Linked DNA regions of Oryzias latipes. Each later gene encodes a partner of the first gene's protein in a complex. Links are inferred from orthologs where the notes say so. Each region holds a gene or a part of one and is shown in the gene's direction. Other genes may lie near its edges.

Region 1 (10,698 bases):
AGTCAGGCTGCACACAAACGGGCGCACACTTATCACCTAAACGGCGCTAACGGGACCCTGCACAGTGCGCAGGATTTGGGGGTTGAAAAAATAAAAAAACTCTTTATAACATGTCAGCATCTCACCTATTTCACCCGTATTTGACCCCATGTGTTGCATAAAAGTTCCTTACGACCTGTCACTCACAGCATGCCTGTAGAAAATAATTTACATGCACTTTATCGCTCTACTGTTTACTGAGCGGTCTACAATCTTAATATTTTCTATGGGCCACCTGTGTGCCCCGTATAGGTTTGCCCATTTTTCGGCTGCAGGTCCGCATCCACCCTTAAGGGCAGTTGTGACTAAGGTTCTCTTGTGGGTCTGTTTATAATTAGATCTGTTGGTACTGTTGCTGACTCCAGTCTTCTCTCTGTGCCGCTCAGTGGCTCTCAACTTTCAGACACCTGGGGAGCAGATGGACCTTAATCAGGGTCGCTTCCTAGCCAACGGTCGCTGTGGCTACGTGCTCAAGCCCAGCTTCTTGTGCAGCCCTACGTCCAACTTTGACCCAGAGAACACCGGTGGAGGCCCCGGCCACACACCCACACAACTGACTATACGAGTGAGCTGTTGCATGAATCTGTCGATTAGCAAATAAAATGTTGAGATCTAATTCATTCATTTATTTGTAATGTTGCATCCACATTGTTGTCTTCTGTTTACATGTGTGGATCTTTAAATGCAATAAAAACTGAGCTCTACTCTGTTAATCCTTGGGATGGGGGGGTCAGAAAGTCAGTGAAGTCTAGGATTTTAAAAATGCTTTTTAGCAGGCCCGAATTTAGCCAGCCCCACACTGGATATGCCGAGACTTTGGGTTGTCAAAGACCTAAAATGTTTAGAAAACCATGCTATGGGTTCATCTAACCTTAGATCTTTTTTATGTCTATACATTTTATAGTGAATGCCTTCCTGACACTATGCTCTGCATTTACCCGGCTTGGGACCTGCACATTATTTATGTATTCATTTATTGTTCTGTTTCTTGGAGTTTTTTTTTTAATATAATTTTTATTTCCTTAGTTAATTGAGGATTTTTGTGGGTGATGATGGCACTTATGCCCCCCCCCCATGCCCAAATCCAGCCTTTTTAAACTGTTTACCGACCAATTTCTTTTGTTTTTTGTAGGTATTAACTGCACAGCAGCTGCCAAAAGTCAACACAGAGAAGGCGAGCGCCATTGTGGATCCGCAAGTTTCTGTAGAAATTCATGGAGTCAGTATTGACAATGCAAAAAACAAAACCCATCGCATTGACAACAATGGTAATTTTGAAATGTATTTATGTGTATTAAACAACATAAATACAAGAACCCTTTAATTTTAGCTGCATGATACTGATTTGTGTGTTTCATAATACAGTTATTTTTTTATACAATATTAATGTTTTTAAAACATTAAGACAAAAATATGTATAACAAAGTTTCCTTTGACTTGTTTATTATGCAGCATAAACATTTTTCTTCCAATGCTCAGCTGTGATTGGGTTCTTTAGAAGTGTTTTGACAGCTCTTTGGCGCCCCCTGCAGGCTTCAACCCACGTTGGGACTGCACTCTGGGCTTCCAGCTTCAGGTCCCTGAACTGGCTCTGGTGCGCTTTGTGGTGGAGGACCACGATCACACGGTCAAAAATGACTTTGTGGGGCAGTTTACTCTGCCTTTCACCAGCCTACGCACAGGTAGCTCATAAAGATTTGTCCTGTTCAGATGAAAAAGAGAAAATTTTCTCTTTGGTGTCACAACTGACATCTTCTTTTTGTCTCAGGTTATCGACACATCCACCTCCTGAAGGCAGATGGCTCCAGTCTGTCTCCAGCTACACTCTTTGTCCATGTGAAAGTGAGCCACAGAGGACCTCCAGTTCAAACCCTGTCAGAGCGTATGGCCATTGCTAAGAGGAAAGCGTGAAACACGCCTGAAAATGGAGGAAATTCTGCTTCTTTTGCCAACAAAGACCTTTAGAAGCAGAAACGCTGAATGTGAAGACTCCCTCAAACTTAACCCGTCCAATTTCTGTTCAGCCACTTAGTTTCTCAGATGCACTTTGAGACTTTTTTTGGTCTATTCAGGGCAAAAATGAAGAAGAAAAGGAGCCTTAAACACCCTTATAGGATGCTTAAGTGTTTAAACGTACATAACCTCCATGACAGAATTATTATTTTGACATTTTAGTTTGTTTTGAAAACGTTTTTAACTGTTTTGTTAATGTAAAGATGAAGAGTACCTCAACAGAAATGATACTTATATGATTTTTACCACAAAGATGTGTAATCCCTGTTTTTTTTTAAATATATTTTAATTTAACCGTTTTAGAGATTTGTTATTTTATTACTGTGTAACCCAAGTTTTTCAAAAGATTGAACAGAATTTTCTTAAATCAATCTTACTCAATACTTTGAGTACTTTAGCACTTTAAACTTACCTTTGAAAATTGTTTTAACCATCATGCTTAGAAACCACCGATATGCAAGTACTGGTTCGGTATCATTTTACAAATGTATTAAATTCTGGCCTCAAGTCTTGTTCAGCTCTTTGTTATCAGGAAATTGTGGATTAAGACGCAACAGCTCCCTTAAAGCGTCACTGAAGGGAATACTTATAGTCAGAGATAGAAAAAGAGAAGCACTGAGTTTGCCATAAATACAATGTATATGCCTTAATTGTTTTTGACTGAATCTGTGATGAGTGAACAGTTTGCAGTGTTATACCTCAGTGCCTGTGTTTGTATCATGTATCCAAGACTGTGTTTTTGTAAAGCAATAATAACACCACAAAAATGAGACTCGACCTTTCTTTTCATTGTTTTATTCTCGCATGTTCCTAAATAATTATAAGCTATGATTTCATGTTTAAAAAGTTATTTTTTTGCTGTGCACATTTTAATGTCAAAGTTAGAGATTTGTACAAAAATGTTCAATATGAAACAGGTCATAAAACTACTGGTTTATAATTAAGAGGTACACGGCAATAGAGGGTTAGATCTGTCGCTTTACAGCAAGACCTCATCTGACTCCCCTATGGCTCCAAAATGTGTGGGATTGCTGTCCTTGTGCTTTCTTTTATTTCATTTCAACCACAGTTAAAAAGAAAAAGTTGAAGTGGTTGTTTTTCTATGCATATCTCCATTCAAGCTGATAAGCACAAATTTAGGCTATATAAAATAGCAAAAGAGTTCACACTATAAAACTTGTTATCCAAATTTATGGTTGTAAGAAGCCAATCTCTATTTAATCCAATGTTCTCTTAGAAATTGTCAACCATGTGCTTCTCCTTCCTGCAGAAATTACATTAACTAATACTTAATTATAAATAATAATTTTAAAAAATTACATTTATCATAACCACCCTAAGCACCACATTTGCAAAGCAAAATTCTACAGTGGAAGTAAGAAAAAATATTAATGCCTATAATTGATGTAAAGAAAAAAGTACTTTTTAAATGTCTGTTTGATTTTCGATAAATTTATAGCAAAATTCATTGTAGTTTATTGAGTATTTAATGCCTGGCCATATTTTAACACATCCTTTGAAACAATTCTACATTCTAACTGCTTAATGTTTTTTATATTCTATTTGTAGTTTTTTCATTGACATTGAAAATGTAAATGACAAACGTAGGTCTGTAGATTTTTCTACTTGTTTCAGGAATCTTCCCTAACTTCAATTTGCCTTAATCAGATTTCCTTCCATGCCATTCCACTCTGAATGGGTTGAAGGCACGGCTCTGATCACATGACTCTAATGTGTGAAAGAAAAGGAACAATTCACACAGCTGACAATACAGCCAAAATGTTATAAGCGTTTTGGCAACTTATGCGACATGGTTATTGAAAGTTGAACGTCTGTTTTACGTGTCGGTGTAAAGGGACAGAGTAAGAACCACTTTTCACTTTGGGCCAATAGCAGCAAAGCAGGTTTAAAGGCGTAGAGGACACGCGGTGGTCCATCGCTTCCTGGTTAAAGATGGCGGATGAGAATGAGACAGCACCCCAGCAGGAAAAAGAAGATGTAGAAGACCACGCACACTGTAGCGATTGCGAAAATGACGAGCATCCCTTTGACGATGGGTAAGAGTAGCATCATTTTCAGTTGTTTGCGTGAATTAAGCCATTGTATTTAGCTGTTTTTCAAAGCTTATGCTAACCAATGCCTTGGCTAGCGGTCGAAGGCAGGGGTTGTCGCCACTCCCACTTGTGATATTTCAATTGGCTAATAAAAGTGTCGGTTTATCAGTACTGGATTTTGATTGGCTGAAACTTTATTTGGATCGCCATGTAGGCGGTGCTTCGTGACGAATCTCCTCAGCCATGCTAGCAAGGCGTAGGAGACAGAGTTGAAGAGAAACATTAAATGGGTAATAAACGAGTCCCGTATTTAAAACTTATCAGATTTGTATAATTTTAACAACTTACCCAATGAATTACCATTTAATGCAATACATCGCTGGTTAGTTCAGATGCACGACAGAGATGTAAGCGATCAAACTCCAACTGACGTTTAACGCGCTAGCTCTAGCATGCTAACGTAGCTGTCAAACCCATTGTCTTAGGCTGAATTTCGTGGCTAAATCTTTATGAAAGGACGCAAAACCTGCATGTTTTCTTGCTCTCGCCTTGTTAATCAAATAGCTTTGGGAAGTTTTCAATTCATTGTCTGTATTGCTAAAACATGCAAGTCCCAGAAAACCTTTGACGAATAGAAAAAGGCTTGGGAATATACTCGTTTTGATGATTTATACAAAGTAAAAATCCACCGTGCTCCTGTGGAGACATCTTCTCTATTTTAATTATTTGTGTTTGTGCAGACAAAGAAAAAGCGAAACCAGGTGGGTCGTCTTTTTATGAGATCCTGCGTTAGGCTCAGACAGATGACACCCATTCAAGAGGAGCTAAATCTTAGATCACTGAAGTTGGAAAGAATAGCGACAGATTGAATGTCATACACTTGCACTATCCTGCTGTTTGTAGGATATTGTCGTGACTTGTTGAAGTGCTGTGAAGCAAATCACTTTCTGTCCTGGCAGCATTTACATCCCACCTTAACACAGCCTGGAAACAATGGATGATTCTGCCTGTCGGTTGAAATAGAAGCCCGGAGAACAAACTATTGAATGTTTTGTTGACCATTGTTCTAGTTGCTCGGTGACCCCTTGCACATACGTGTGTACGCATGCGTCGATGCCACATACTCTTCTTCTGTAAGTCATGTGATTCACCATCTGCACCGGGGTTACAAGTACTTGCCCTGCCTCCTCTCTTGAACACTAATGAGATAATCCTCTGTAAGTATGTGGTAGATGTGTGGCTCTGTGGGCTCCGAGTCTTAAATGAGGTTCATTAAGCACATAATGTTGGTAAATAATGTTTGAATTGATTTAATATACTATATTTTATCTCTTCATTTCATTTTTATCAGTTAAACCAGTGACTTGCATTTCCTTAAGCTAAGGGTTTATTTTCCTCACCTTTCCCAGAGCATCTGCTGGCATTATCTATCTAATAGTGTCAAGCAAAACAGAAGTGGGAAAATACATTTGTCTTTATGATTTTGAAGTAACTTTTGAATGGAGAATTTGGGAAATACACAGGTGGATACTGGTTTTTTGATTGAAGACATTCATTTAGAAATAAGTGGATGTCTTATCTTGTTCCAGCGATCGGGGTTTGGGTGACGACACCGGCACCAAGAAGAAGAAAAAGAAACAGAAAAAGAAGAAGAAATCTGGTGCCACCGAAGCAACTCAGGACCCACTTGCAAAGGCAAGAGTGAAATCACTTTTTTTTTTTTTTTAATTTTAGTTTCAAAAGTAATGATCCAAAAGAAAGAAAGTAATGTTTGTTTAAATATGACTCACTCTGATGAAAACTATGTTTTTAACATGTTCTTGTGTTTTTTGTTTTTTTTTCTGAAGATGGAGATCGTTTCTTAAGAAAATGAATTAGAAAAGAAAATTATTTTATTCATTATAACAAGCAGAAAAAAGCAACATTTTCAAAAAGAGAGCATTTGTGATGTAGAAGATATGCTGAGTGAGCTATAGGCTCCCTGCTCCGCTCCATTCTGATGCATCCACTTGTAGACGAATAAATCCACGAACGTCTTTGTTTTCCTCGTCTGTGCTGGCATCTGGCTCAAAACCGTACGGCAGGATAGCTCAGGTATTGCTCGCCATTTTTGTTGCACCATTAATGTTAGGTTGGGTGTGTGAGGGGCTGTAGGCAAGCAGGACAGCGTCTAAACAGATGGATGACTCGGGCTTACTCGGTGCCAGTGGTCACGCTCACGACTTAGAGGTGAATTTCTAATGAACTACTGCCGCTCTACAGAAACTACGTTATAGAAAATGAAAGTTTTTTAATCATAATTGAAAGACCACTGGGAAGGCTCTAACATTAGATCATAAGATGATTGGAGTGGGTCTTTAAGATCAAATTTTATGTGGAAGGTTCATTTAATCTTGGATAAAAAGTAGATCTCATTTTGAATGTCGTAAGCTTCTCTGTCTGCTGCTCCCCTCTTTTCATTTAATTTAATAAAGATCTTTTTATTTGGTCTTCAAAAACAGGTGAATTCATTGCCAGCTGATAAGCTACAGGAGATCCAAAAGGCCATCGAACTCTTCTCTGTGGGCCAAGGTCCAGCCAAGACCATGGAGGAAGCCACTCGGAGAAGTTACCAGTTCTGGGACACGCAGCCCGTTCCCAAGCTAGGTGTGAGAAACATCAGAGGTTTCAGAACTTAAGGTCAAGCGAGACATATGTCATAATGTGGCGTGTTATTTTGACTTCACAGGGGAGACGGTGACGTCTCATGGCTCTATTGAACCTGATAAGGACGCCATTCGAGAGGAGCCCTACAGCCTCCCGCAGGGCTTCAGCTGGGACACCCTCGACCTGGGGGATCCCGCTGTGGTACGAGAGGTTGAATGACATATGAAACAATACCTGGGCATTCAATCCTTTTCAATTAAAATAATAATCTACAGTTCATATTATTACTTTTAATAATATTAATCCATTTAGATTCAATCTATGCTTTCATTTTTTTAAGCAACTTGGATATTTTTGCCGTTAAACTGCCGAAATATGTTAAACTTGATCTTTTATTTAGACAATGCAAGAGCTTATATATCATAGGCTGCACATCTTAAACTCTCAGAGCTTTTAGTATCTACGTGGGTTAAAAAAATGTAACTTTCAGATTCAAGTCTTCTCTTTCAGAAGGGATTTTCTGAATCTGAAACGGTTAACTGCTCCCTTGTGCTTCTCTAAAACAGCTTAAGGAGCTTTACACTCTTCTCAATGAGAACTATGTGGAAGACGATGACAACATGTTCAGATTTGACTACTCTCCTGAGTTTCTTCTCTGGTAACTTTTCCTAATTTATCATTTTGCCTTTAAAAAAGATCCAACATAATTTTAAAAATAGGTGTGTTTATAACAAAGAGCAGATGGACGTTCTGTGAAGGTGACTGGCTGCTGTGTTTCTCAGGGCGCTGCGACCTCCAGGCTGGTTGCCACAGTGGCATTGTGGTGTGAGGGTGAACTCCAACCAGAAGCTTGTGGGATTCATCAGCGCCATTCCAGCCAACATTCGCATCTACGATATGTAAAGAGATGAAATCTTGACCTGAATGAATGTCAATATTTCTATCACACCTCCCATTTTTGTCTGAATGAGTTGTGGGACTGTTTAAACATGAGAAATTGTCTAAAATGTTTTGTTTAAAATATTTTTTCTTTCTTTTTTTTTTGCTCTAGAGAAAAGAAAATGGTTGAGATCAACTTCCTTTGTGTCCACAAGAAGCTTCGCTCCAAACGGGTCGCTCCAGTTCTGATCAGAGAGATCACTAGAAGGGTCAATTTGCAGGGCATCTTCCAGGCTGTGTACACAGCCGGAGTCGTGCTGCCCAAACCTGTAGGCACCTGCAGGTTTGTCATGGAGAAGCAACTTTTTCTTCCTCATGATGTTCCTGAGTTTATTTTTGCCATTTTTCATTTGCAAAGGTACTGGCATCGCTCCTTGAACCCACGGAAACTAATTGAGGTCAAGTTCTCCCATCTGAGCAGGAACATGACTATGCAGCGCACAATGAAGCTTTACCGCCTGCCCGAGGTTAGTTGTGGCACAAATTAAGCAGCAAATCTAAGAAATTTGTTCTTTTTTAATCAGATCTTTAAAATGTAAAATACCACGTGGTCGTTTTCACCTGGTACTGGGGTAAATATTACTTTTTTAAAAAATTTTTTAGTATTCCATGATTTGCACACTTTATAGGGAATGCTTGATGTTTTTCTTTTTCTACTGATTATTTAATGTTCTATTCAATAGTTGCACAATAAATCTCAAACGGAACAAAAAAATTAATTCCATTAGAGATTTTTGTTGTCTTTTTTTACAGCAAAATCCACAGAAATGGAATAGATTTCTACAGAAATCTGTAGAGGACAAATTAAGAATAACCTGAATATTTCCCAACCACTGCTGCTAAATGACCTCATTTTGGTGTCTACAGAGGACATTTGGGGCTTTTCAATGATGTCAGATGCAAATGGGGGGGATTCTGGGAATTGTAGTTTTTGGTAGATTAAAAAAAAAATTAGAGTGTGCTATTTTTTTCCTCTGGTAGTCAGATAGTTAAAGGAAACTTTTAAGATGCAAGCCCTTCCCTTGCCCCTCCTCCTTTAGGCTCCAAAGACTTCTGGTCTGCGACCGATGACCAAGAAGGATGTGCCAGTGGTGCATCGCCTTTTCCGTGAATACCTGAGCCAGTTCAACCTTGTGCCTGTCATGAACCAGGAGGAGGTGGAACACTGGTTTCTGCCCCAGGAGAACATTGTTGACACCTATCTTGTGGAGGTAAATGGTTGTTGAGAAGGTTTTAGCTCTGCCGCTATGGCACTGATCCGTGTGATTGTTTTAATTTTTTTTATTTTACCGTCTGACAGTCGAATGGAAAAGTGACGGACTTCCTGAGTTTCTACACGCTGCCCTCCACCATCATGAACCATCCTGTGCACCGGAGTCTCAAAGCAGCATACTCTTTTTACAATGTGCACACCACCACCCCACTGCTTGATTTGATGTCTGATGCTCTCATTCTGGCCAAATCGGTTTGTTCTTCGTCATTTCTTTAAAAAAAAACAAAAAAAAAACACTGCTGCTTAAAGATTATGCACACAAGAAACTGATTTTTGTGTGTGTTTACAGAAAGGCTTTGATGTCTTTAATGCACTGGATTTAATGGAAAACAAGACTTTCTTGGAGAAGTTGAAATTTGGCATCGGTGATGGGAATCTACAGTATTATCTGTACAATTGGAAGTGTCCCAGCATGGGGCCAGAGAAGGTAGGTCTTAGCTTCACACCATGACCTAGACGTACCACTTTCTGCAGATGGGCATGAAGTGACTGTTTGCTTTTTTTTTTAAAGTCCCAGTCGGGTCATCTTTTGATTTATTTTCAAAGTGTTTTCAGTGGTGGTTTAATTATGATTAAAACAATCCTTTTGCAGATAAGGTTGTCAAAATGTTGCAGGCTTTTAATTGGAAACATTCACATTATTTTATGTCAAATGTATGCTTTCGAAGCAAATTTAGTTTGAGAAAAAAAATGAAGAAATTAAACCAGTTGAGAAAATACGTAAAATTAAAAGAGGGAAGAAAAAAAAAGAAATAATCTTTTAAAATGAGTAAATAAATACAGAAAATAAAGCGTAAATGGGTGAAGTAACACGGGTAAACCAATTAAGGCTCATACAGTGCACGCCAGGTGAGCACAGATCTGACAGGGCATCAGAGAAACTATAACCTTATTTAATTTTTTCAGCAACGTGGCAAACTTTTGAATTTAAAAACTTGTTCTGGTTGGTTTTTGTCTCAGGTTGGCTTGGTTCTGCAGTGACAGCTGAACCCTGAGAGCACGAGTTACCAATGAGGCAAAAGAACGCACTGTGGACTGATGACTTCCTGCTTAGGAGAGGAAACTACCGCCCATTTTTACTTTCTGACCTTCTGAACTCTGAGCTGCACTACCGCTGCCAGGCCTGGAGGCTGGGAAAGCCCGCATCTTTCCACCCTCCCCGATCACACGGACCATAAGCCATTCTAGTTCTCATCGCAGACAACTGTATTTCATCAGAAAGCTGTCTTGATTGTACACAAATCTGCATCTGTTTGCACAGATGACTGGCCACCAAAACACTCGCAGCTGGCATATCCAGAAAATCTTCAGAACCTGTAAATAATGTCAGACATGACTGCGTTTATGCCCTGAACACATGCAGACTAGAATCTTCTGTTTAATTTTATTCCTAAATGTTGGAAATGCTTTTTGCTAATAAAAACAAATCACTCATTCTTAAGTTTTAGAGCTAAAAAAAATCCCATCAAAATAAGAAAAAATATTTTAACACGTTCAGAGGCCCTGAAAAAGATGCGGTAATAAATACCAAAACTGGACATTTGGGCTTCTGTTGAGAGTATTTTTTTTGGTTGTGAGTCTTATTGTTTGTGCTGCCCTGCTGCTCCTGTTTCACCACCGCTTCAGGTTGACGCCATCTTGTGTCCTGATGTGTCCTCGTGACCTTTGGTCTGCAGCTGTTGTAACGCACAAAATGAGCAACAAAATGCTGCATTTGCATTTGTTTTAAGTGGT
Region 2 (9,936 bases), on another chromosome or scaffold:
TATTTTATCTAATGCACATAGATACCAACCATGAAAAGTCTATTACCCGGGTTTAAAAATATAACAAAAACAGAATTTGGAATTTTTAAATATTCTGTTTAGTTTTCTCCTGTAAAGGAGTAAGGTGATGTGCTCAAGTTTTATTTATCTGTGATACGAGTAAGTGTCTATATAAAAGTTATAAAATCAATTTAGAAACATTTTTGTCATTTCTTCTGCTCATTTCTAATATTTTAACAGGGAAGTAAGTTAATTTGGATATCTTAATGTTCCTCTGTTTTCTAATTTATAACAGTCATTTATTGTTGTGAGAAAACATTAAAGTTAAATTTAGGTGGATAAGAATATACATCTGAACACTTCATGTCACCATTTCCTCAACAAGAACTGCAGAAGCACTGTAAAAAACAACTACACCCCTGACTCAGCAGTTTTTAAAACCACCTTTTAGAGCGGACCTGAGCCAAGGCAGATGACTCCCTGCCAGTGTTGAAATCAGATCTACTCTGATTGGTAATACAACTATAAACTTTGTGCTGGCTGACTTTCATCTGACTCACTGTTCTCAGATGTTATTTACTGTCTATGCCATTGACTGTATAACAGAACTGGACCTAGTGAATGAGACGTCACCCATAGAAAATGACTTACTTCTGGCTCCAACCAAATGAAGCCAAATCAGCCGCCATTTTTTCTTGATACAGATTTCAAAAGATTAGAGTTAGACGATGTCAGTAAGCAGTGATTGGGCCGAGTCAGTATGAGTCGACGCTTCTATGGCAACCACTCTCACCAATCAGGAGTGAGCTTGTTGGAAGTCCACACCCTCTTCCAATGAAAATGGACTCGGGAAAAATCTATCAAACATTTTGAGCGTTCAATGTGGGGGCCAGCGGGCACCACATGTTTTTAGTGCGTAATCTAATCGTTCAGCTTAGAATTTGATTAACTTACAATGAAGAAAAACATATCATAAAAAAGTAGGGATGAGTTGATGCAATGGATTAATCAATCTGAATCAATCTAAGCTTAATAAACAAACATTTACCTAACGCATAACAGCAGCAAAGTCCGCTAGCTTGATGCTAACGTATAAGGGAATTCCCCATAGGACGGCTAATGCTAACACTCATTTGACCTAAACATACATTGCTGACTAATTGAACAGCTTTATATACTCACAGGCAGGACTTTTCCAAACTCTTTTAAGGAAAGAGTTTAAGGAAACAAACTGATTGTTTTATTATTTCACTAATACATTTCACAGTAGATTTCCAACAAACTAATTCCTGACTGGCAAGAGTGGTTACCAAAGAAACATTGACTCAGACCAACTCAGACCAATCACTGCTAAGTGATGTTGTCGAGGCGCATATGGCGATATGTGCCATATAAAAAACGGCGACTGAATTGACTTATTTTGCTGGAGCCGGAAATAAGCTATTCTCTATGGATGACGTCACACTCGCTCCGATTAGTTATCATACAGTCAGGTGAAATCCTTTTATCTCTGTTCCTGTAATTTGTGTTTATCTTTGAAACAAAAAATCAGCCTCAAAACAAAGAACTTATCTTCAAAGAACAAAGATCTTTGCTGGTTTTATCACACATGGATTTATGCGTACGGTGGTTTGTTATGCGACACAGATTTCTGAAGGTTATGCCAACCCTTTTGCAGCAGAGGATCACACCCACTGTTTTCTTTCCTGCAGACTCAGTCTAAGCACCCCCTGATTTATGAAGCAATTTTGTGGCAAATCCAGTTTTATATTGAGTTACATTCAGAAAGGGGTCCTGAAATAATGCGAACAAACAAAACCTTCACAGCCATATTTCTTTTCCTTTGCTGCTGCCTGGGGAAAACTTTCAACAGCTTGAACATTTTGAGATTTTTTTTAATTAGAAAAACTTAAAACTCTGGACTTTTAACATAGGTTACAGGATTTGAACACTTACCCCCCTAGGAACTGATGTAAAATTAGTTGGTTGTGGAACATATGTTAAATGTCCAGCACTGCATTACAGAGAGCTGGACTTTCATTTTTCCTCATATCTCTAGATAATTCAAATTCAAGAATTAGAATGTTTTTTGCTGCTGCTACTCCACTGATTGAACTTGTTTCCAGCTCCTGCTCAAAGTGGCTCCTCGACCCTTTGACTATATGAAGCTGACTTTATCTTTTAGGCAGATTAAAAGAAACGCCAAGAGACGGCTTGTACAAAAAAAGCTTTGGCGTTTCATTTTTCATCAGCACCGTCTCTATATAACCTTATTTATAACCCTGATTTGGAGATGAACATGCTAAGCTCCCTTGTGTTATCAGTATTTTTTAGAATTTTTTTTCTTATAGATACAGTCCCTCGATTTCCATTATATGGTAGCACAAAACCTAATAAAAAAAAGCCTCATGCTCCTGGTTGTCTTTGACCTTTCAGTTTCTGCTCCACAATGGTTATTTTCAAAGACATTCCAGGAATCGGCCTACCTGTTAGTAGCTGCTCTTCAGGTTGCTTATGAGTTGCTTCTATATTTAGGCTAATAGAAATGTTAAGTCGCTCTTTAGAAATGCCGTCTCCAGGGGGAAAAAGGAAGCTCTCAGGCCTATCTTTCATCCATGCATATTATCAAAAGAGAAGCAGAGAGAAATTTGATTAGTCAAGCACTCTGGGGTTGCTATTGGATTAAGACAATTATCTTATCTTATGAATGAGACAAATGGCTTTGCACTTTGGCTTTATGATCTGGCACACTCATTCAAAAGGAAACGGTAATGCCTTCTTTGAAAGTGAAGAGAGAAATGTCCTCATTTATAGTCTTGTCTTGGTTATAAATTATTTGCATTATTTTCTGCACTCAGACGTTCAGCAACGAAACATTGGACCAATCGTATGGCATGAACGATGCATTTTGCATGTAAACAAGACAACCTGTTAAAATTCTACTCAATGTCAACTTCATTGACATTAAAGATGGTAAAGATGGATCTGAATTCTAAAATATTCAGACTACCACATCTGGCACTAGCAGCCACTTATTGGTAAAAACTTCAGCCCTATTCCTAATTGCTCATTTTTAACTTCAGCAGATTGTCTTCAATTTCTCATCGTGTGAAAATACTTTCAGTATTTGCTACATTTGCTCCAGAGTACGTCTAAAATGGTTCAAAAAGTAGCATCTGTTGAGAATTATAGTCAGTACGGTATATCTTTTAACATGTTAACCTTTTTTCATTTTTTTCAGGTACAAAGGTTTCATCAAGGATTGTCCAAGTGGGCAGCTGGACGCTGTGGGATTTCAAAAGATATACAAACAGTTTTTTCCTTTTGGAGATCCTACAAAGTTTGCTTCCTTCGTCTTCAATGTGTTTGATGAAAATAAGGTTGGTATTTATTTTTATTAGTATTTGTATTTTTTGTAACATTAAACTGAATATTATTGGATAAAATTGTGCTAAAAGGCCGACGTGAAGATCTGGACTCAATCAGCCTCTTTGTCCCACCAGTGGTTAAAATACAATAAAATGCCAGCATCTTTTGGCAAAGCATCTAATTTAAGTACTTTATGGTTAATGTATTCTTAATACTGGAGCATTCAATATTGTTTATACTTTTATTTTTAGTAAAAAAGTTCAGTCAAGTATTAAAATAGTTTGCACTTTAAACTTTCAGTGATTGACACCTAAAAACACATCCATGTTCATAAAAAGCCTTAAAGACTCACTCTTGTTTTTGGTGTTCTTAACATGTTTTTTTGGCATTTTTATGATGATAGAGGACGTGTATTAAGAAAAATTAGATTCCAAATTGTTTTCTGAGCATTTCTATATTCGAATCGTTGTGAAACAGGAGCCGACAAAAAAATCCAGTTTGTGACAGAAAATACACTGTGTGGGTCACAAACTCCAAGTGAGAAAAGGAGTGAATTTCTAATGATCTGCTACAGAAACTATGTCCTAGAAAGCGACATACTGCAGGTCTTTTGATTTTGTCTAAAAACTTCAAAATCTTAATTTAAATAGCACTGGAAACAGTTTTAAAATATATCAAAAAATGATAGAACTGGGTTTTTAACATTTTCTGATTTGCAACATCATTAAAGAAGCCTTAAAAGAATTACTATTTAATCTAATCTAATCTTTTTTTTCTCATATTAAATTATGTTTCTTTTTCACATCACAAAAAAAAAGACGACATGATCATAAAAATCAAATCTGCATTTCATAACACTTGATTGGTTTAGTGAGTGGGGATGAAAAATGAAAAATGATCCTCCAAATGAATTTAGTGCTTCAGAATGTCAGCGTGACGGATGATTCGATTTGCCAGGCTGTCGGAGTTTGGAGTTGAGGATTAGTCACAGCATCAACTGCGCCATAAATGTCCAACTCTTCAATTTGTGTAGCAAACTCTTCTCTGAGACGTTTTTTTTCCTTCTACCCACAAGTGTTTGTGCTTTTGTGATGTCAGGCTGTTGCCGCTTTTATGATCACACCAAGGATTTCAGGATGTGATGACAAAGGAAGTTTTCAAAGGCAGGCTGTTATTTATACATTCGTTTGAGGTCATCTCCCCCGCTGTCCTTCCATCATCACAGCTGGACGTGATTATTCAAACCACTTATAAATGGTTTGTGTGCAGCAGCACAGCAAGCCTCTGGATATGTATTGACATGTGTTTAGAGGCTTTGTGTGATGATCTGAGTGATCAGACAACCTCCTCATCAGATGCTAACTGTGACCCTCATTTGGAATCAGACACCCCGCTGTAATAGAATGCATTGATCTTAATAGTCATTATGGTTTATGTAATCGGCTGGGAATGACCTCAGCATTTTTCTGGCAAGATGAATGTCTGCGAGATATGCATTCAGCTGACTTAAGCAGCCTGGTCCCACCGGTACTTTTCTTTTTTAAACTTAAAGTGGGGAGGACCACTGAGGATTACAGGTAATCAGCTGGTGTTTTGGAAAAGAAGTAACCTTTAATTATGATGCAGAATCTTTTGGTATTTGTTGAGAATAAAGTCCTGATGGTTTTCATTTGTTAATTTTCCTAAGAAACAGTTGTTTTCACTTTGAAAATGATTAATTTGTTCTTTTCTTTTTGGGTTGCATTTGCTCTTTTTTAAAGTGTTGTTTCCAGTTGTCAAAGACAGATGTTGGTGTCACTTAAATGTTCCTCTCATGGATAATCACATTCCATATGTGCAGAACTTTTTTTTTGCAAAAAAATAAATAAAAAGAGCACATTTTCTTGAGGGAATTTTTGTGAGACATAATACGTGTGGCCTAAAAACGGGAAGTCAAAGAAATTGTTGGACAGCTTAATCTCCTGAGCTCATTCACAATGAAAAATAGTTGTTGTTGTTGTGATGTTCATGTTTAAATGAGCCACTAACATCCATCTAACTAATGATCAGAGATGACATGATTCAGGTCTTAGAGAGAACCAGGTGCAGGGCAGAAAATAGCTTGGAGAGAACGACTGACCCTGTTTCCAGCAGAAATCCAGTGAGGATTCTCACGAGGAGCAAGGAGGAGTTTAAGAAAGCACAGCAAAAGAAGTTGGGAGCGCAACAAATTAAGACATTTATGTTTTTTTCCTTTTTACAGAAAAGTCTTTCTTGAATTCTTTTTTTTCTTACATAGGATGGACGCATCGAGTTCTCAGAGTTCATCCAGGCCTTGTCAGTGACCTCCAGGGGGACTCTGGATGAGAAGCTGAGATGTAAGAAGATACTTCCTCTCCTATCATTTTTATAAAAAAAGAATCACAACTAAGCAATCTGCTTGAAATAAATGTAAATATCTGTCTTTTTGAAAGCAAGGATTATAGTGTTCCCTCGTTTATCACAAAGGTTATGTTTAAACGGTTAAATCTGCAAAGTAGCGTTATAGATGTTTTAAGGCTGTAAAGCCCCTCACTACACACTTTATACACTTTTCTCTCTTGTTTAAACTCTCAAAGTTCAATCAAAGCAGAAAAATGAGTCCAGTATTATAGAATTAAAACAAAAACCTGACCATGATCGAAGATTTATGTAAATATGGCTAAATGATTGTGTTTAAGGAGAAGATTGAGTCACAAGGTCTACAGCCAATCAGGATGCAGAGTGCAAAAAATGTTACGCTTCCCAGCTTGGCAAGCAGGGGGCGGAACACTACTAGAGCACCTATTTATTGATAGAAGATTCATAACACCCCAGGAACTTCAAGAGAAACATAGAACAAATAACTTCTTGGAATATCAGCAACTTAAATCTATTATTACTAAAAAGATAAATACAAAGACAATGACTGCGAAAGCTGAAACGCAATATAGCGAGAGACCAGTGTATACGTCAATCTTTTTTATATTGCAGATAGAAATGTTTTGTTGAGCTTGTAATTAGTCTCTGACTGCCGCAGCAAATGTTTCCACCGAGATATTTCTATTTCTATATATTTTTCTATTTTTATTTCTATTTTACCATATTTTTCTTCATGGAGAGTTATATGTTTTGACATTTTGTCTTTTTTTTCTACAGGGGCTTTTAAATTGTATGACCTCGACAATGACGGCTATATAACTCGTGATGAAATGCTAAACATCGTAGATGCCATATACCAAATGGTGGTAAGTTTAGAAACACATCCCCTCTGTTTACCTGCACTAGCATCACGGTTCACAGTGTAATGATGTGATGTCTAAGGGAAACACTGTGGAATTGCCAGAGGAGGAGAACACACCAGAAAAGCGAGTCGACCGCATTTTTGCAATGATGGACAAGGTTAGTATTGAACTAGACCTGACAAACAGCAAATTAAAGCAGAGAATTGCATCAATTGGTCCGACCTTTTAGAGGTCAGTATGAGCGCTTGACAGCATCAAGTGCAGTATTCATTGAATCACTTGTTTAAGAGTAATAGGACTGAGTGTAGCCTTACTGGCACCCTTGGGGCTCTAATACAGACACTGTTAAACTGAGAGCTCTCTGTAGCCATTTCAGCAGCATCACTTACACCACCTGCACTTATACTCATCTCCACTATTAGCCTTTACTGCCCACTCCATCTGCCCCCAGACTCTTTGCAGCTCTGGTAATAGATGAAACAGTATTGTCATATTAGATCCGCCTGTAGAGCTAACTCTACAGCCTGCACTATTTATTTGTCATTTTGTTAATGGCCAAGGCAGGATTTTTTGGGGAAAAAAAACAAATATATGAGAATAAAGTCGAAAAATGTTTAAAAAAAAAAGTCTAATTTTATGAAGATAAAGTCATAGCCTACAATGCTGAGAAAAAGCTTATTACTGTTCTGAAAAAAAAGTCAAATGATTTCTGAAAAAAGGCAGAATTATCAAGAGATGTCAACAATTTATGAGAATAAGGTAATTAATTTTACAAGGAAAAAGTCTTTTATTTTTGAAAATAAAATAACATTTTTAGCTTTTAAAATGTTTCAACACATTTCGAACATTACCCTTTTAATCAATGTTGCAAACAAATCAGAGAAATTGGATGGAGATCTGCTCCAAAAATCTTGCTGAATTTGCTTTACCTTTGTGTTGTAATAATAATGATAATAATAATACATTTTATTTCAAGCACCTTTCAGGTCACCCAAGGTCACTGTACAAGGTTTAAGAATAAGAAAAAAACAGAATAAAACATCAATTGTAAATATACAACTTTATTTTCATCAAATTCCAACTTTATTTTTGAAAAAGCACAACTTTTTCCGTGCAAAAATTATGACTTTTTAAATCTTAAAATTATTATTTTGTTCTTGAATAATGTAGATTTTTTTTAATTATTGCACAACTTTATTTTTGTCAAGTTTTGGCTTTTTTCTCAGAATGTATGACTATTCTCATGTATTTATGTTCTTTTATGGTTTCACCAAACACTTGTTTTATTTTAGAGATCAGCCAGTTCTACTTCAGACAGAAATCCCTTTTTGCCCTCTGCTGGCATATCTTTGCTAAACATTTTAATCTTGAGGGTCATTTTTGCTCCTCCTTGCAGAATGCAGATGGAAAGCTGACTCTGCAAGAGTTTCAGGAGGGCTCGAAGGCAGACCCCTCCATTGTTCAGGCCCTGTCTCTATATGATGGACTTGTGTAGGAATGGAAGGTGAGTGACAGATTGATGGACTGGTTCATGCATGCTTCTCATTGGGAATGCCATTTCCTAGTCACGCCTGAGTTCAGCTCTAATACACTCTAATGCTTTAAAAAAAAATCAGAAAAGATATTCAGTCCATGTGCTGAAACTCAGGGGTGTAAGCCAATTTCTGCTCTCAGTTTGTTCTTATGAATTATTCAGATGGCCCACTTGTTTTCTGGCAGCTTGATAGTCTTGCAGTGATGAATGAGGAGGGAGACATCCCTATCCTCTCACTGCCTGATGTCATATTCTGGCTGCTGACAATTGTTGCTAACATCCTGCTCAGCGTTTAATCAACTGTGAAGTGAGCTTATAAAGACATGTATCTTCAGTAAAGCTGTTTAGCCATTGTCTACCATGTTATAAGCACTCATGTATGATCACACTTTTCATCATGACTGTTTAAACTAATACAGTCTCTTCTCTTCTCAGATGGGACCATTTAGCATCCTCCTGCTGATAGTCAACAATCCAGCACCATCACCCTGCAGCAGGCGGAAACGCTTACTTAACTTTCATCACCAAGGGAGCGCACTATAAAGCTTTGTCGCATGGCCAAACGACACCTGTGCTGTAGCAGTTCATCCACATCGTTGTTGAGGACAGAGGACAATGACTTTCCTTGGCGTGAAGGAGGAGACAAACTTGTCAGCACACGTGCCATCGTTTGCTTCTGCAGCTATGTAGCGCCATGCACATTGCTCAGTGCTGGAGCATCTCTAGAAGGGCAGCGTTGGTCCTGGACGATCCGGAGAACTGAATCCCCACAGAGATGTGTCTTTGCCGCAAAGCAACAGCTGCCACGTGTGGAAATGTGTAACCCCCACATGATGGCATGATGGACTTCAAATCTCACTCCTAAAGATGATGATAAGAAAATGAACTTAAAATTATGAAGCAGTGTGGGGGTATGTTATATATTATAAAAACAAAAACAAAAAAACAATGCTAAATTATTTTCTGCCCTGCTGCATTTATGAGTATTTCCTCATAAAAATGGAATGGATCGTTATTTTTTATCAGAAGTGTTGAAATGTATTGCACTGCATTTTGCCATGGTTATTATTGTGTCATTTCTTTTCTCTTCACTTCCTTAGGTTGAGTTTTCCCTTAAGACATTCTGGGTTTTCTTTAAGGAGGAATGTTTAGGTAGCACAGAGTTTAGTAAGGATTCCTTTACTACGTTTACCGTCTGTGCTCCCTGTTGTTTCTTTCTTCCTTCCAGCACGACTGTAGTGTCTGCCCTGTTGCACGGTTACATCCTGAACTTACAGCTTTGCATCTGAATTGAGTCTGGGAGCATCACACTCCTCTCTCAACAACATAAAGCCCTGGTCATTGTGAGGAAAAGGAGGGCATCAATTCTGGTTGTAAAGCTTTTGTGAGGGCTGTGGCTGTAATTGTCACCTTAGTATTTATACTGTGTGAGACCAGAGCATGTGCCCAAACCTTTGATTTCTGATTGGAATGATTCTTATGCAGCAGTTAGATATAATGCTGATTTGTTTCTGCCTTCTGCAAATTTAGATTTACTGTATTATTGTAATTTATCTGTTAACAGTTTAGGAGCACAGAATGAAATGCTAATGCTAATAATACGTGGCCATTAAGTCATATTTTGCCCACAGAAATTAATATTTTGTATCTACAAATTAGCATGTTGCATTTTTTGCACACAAATAAGTATTTCATGGCCACAAATTATTAAATTATTAGTATTTTGTGCACAGACATTTTTTGTGGCTACAAATTAGCATTTTTTGCACACACATTAATATGTTAGTATCT

The links.
Region 2: the proteins of glycylpeptide N-tetradecanoyltransferase 1 (region 1) and ncs1 are in contact, whole or in part, in a crystal structure (PDB 5O9S), measured with the Homo sapiens proteins. The link is inferred for Oryzias latipes from reciprocal best matches to the Homo sapiens genes NMT1 and NCS1. Residues at the interface, in NP_066565.1 of Homo sapiens: Tyr180, Val181, Glu182, Asp183, Asp184, Asp185, Met187, Phe188, Arg189, Phe190, Tyr192, Asn246, Thr282, Ala283, Gly284, Arg295, Tyr296, His298, Ser300, Lys310, Phe311, Ser312, Tyr401, Leu403, Ser405, Tyr420, Gly468, Ile469, Gly470, Asp471; in NP_055101.2 of Homo sapiens: Gly2, Lys3, Ser4, Asn5, Ser6, Lys7, Leu8, Lys9.

The regions. Positions count from the first base shown.
Region 1 is NC_019866.2:5,208,794-5,219,491, reverse strand, and holds glycylpeptide N-tetradecanoyltransferase 1, read left to right. Parts: upstream 1-3,976; 5' UTR 3,977-4,005; coding exon 4,006-4,109; intron 4,110-4,323; exon of another isoform or gene 4,324-4,396; intron 4,397-5,695; coding exon 5,696-5,801; intron 5,802-6,260; coding exon 6,261-6,335; intron 6,336-6,607; coding exon 6,608-6,752; intron 6,753-6,834; coding exon 6,835-6,953; intron 6,954-7,318; coding exon 7,319-7,410; intron 7,411-7,534; coding exon 7,535-7,651; intron 7,652-7,803; coding exon 7,804-7,974; intron 7,975-8,049; coding exon 8,050-8,158; intron 8,159-8,731; coding exon 8,732-8,902; intron 8,903-8,991; coding exon 8,992-9,156; intron 9,157-9,253; coding exon 9,254-9,391; intron 9,392-9,924; coding exon 9,925-9,945; 3' UTR 9,946-10,504; downstream 10,505-10,698. Other genes in the region: plcd3 (1-phosphatidylinositol 4,5-bisphosphate phosphodiesterase delta-3), read left to right, coding at 426-604, 1,172-1,307, 1,572-1,721, 1,808-1,950.
Region 2 is NC_019867.2:19,603,052-19,612,987, reverse strand, and holds part of ncs1 (neuronal calcium sensor 1), read left to right. Parts: intron 1-3,241; coding exon 3,242-3,380; intron 3,381-5,647; coding exon 5,648-5,726; intron 5,727-6,525; coding exon 6,526-6,614; intron 6,615-6,690; coding exon 6,691-6,768; intron 6,769-8,007; coding exon 8,008-8,106; 3' UTR 8,107-8,115; intron 8,116-8,580; 3' UTR 8,581-9,936. UniProt on the Homo sapiens protein: Neuronal calcium sensor, regulator of G protein-coupled receptor phosphorylation in a calcium dependent manner. Directly regulates GRK1 (RHOK), but not GRK2 to GRK5. Can substitute for calmodulin. Stimulates PI4KB kinase activity.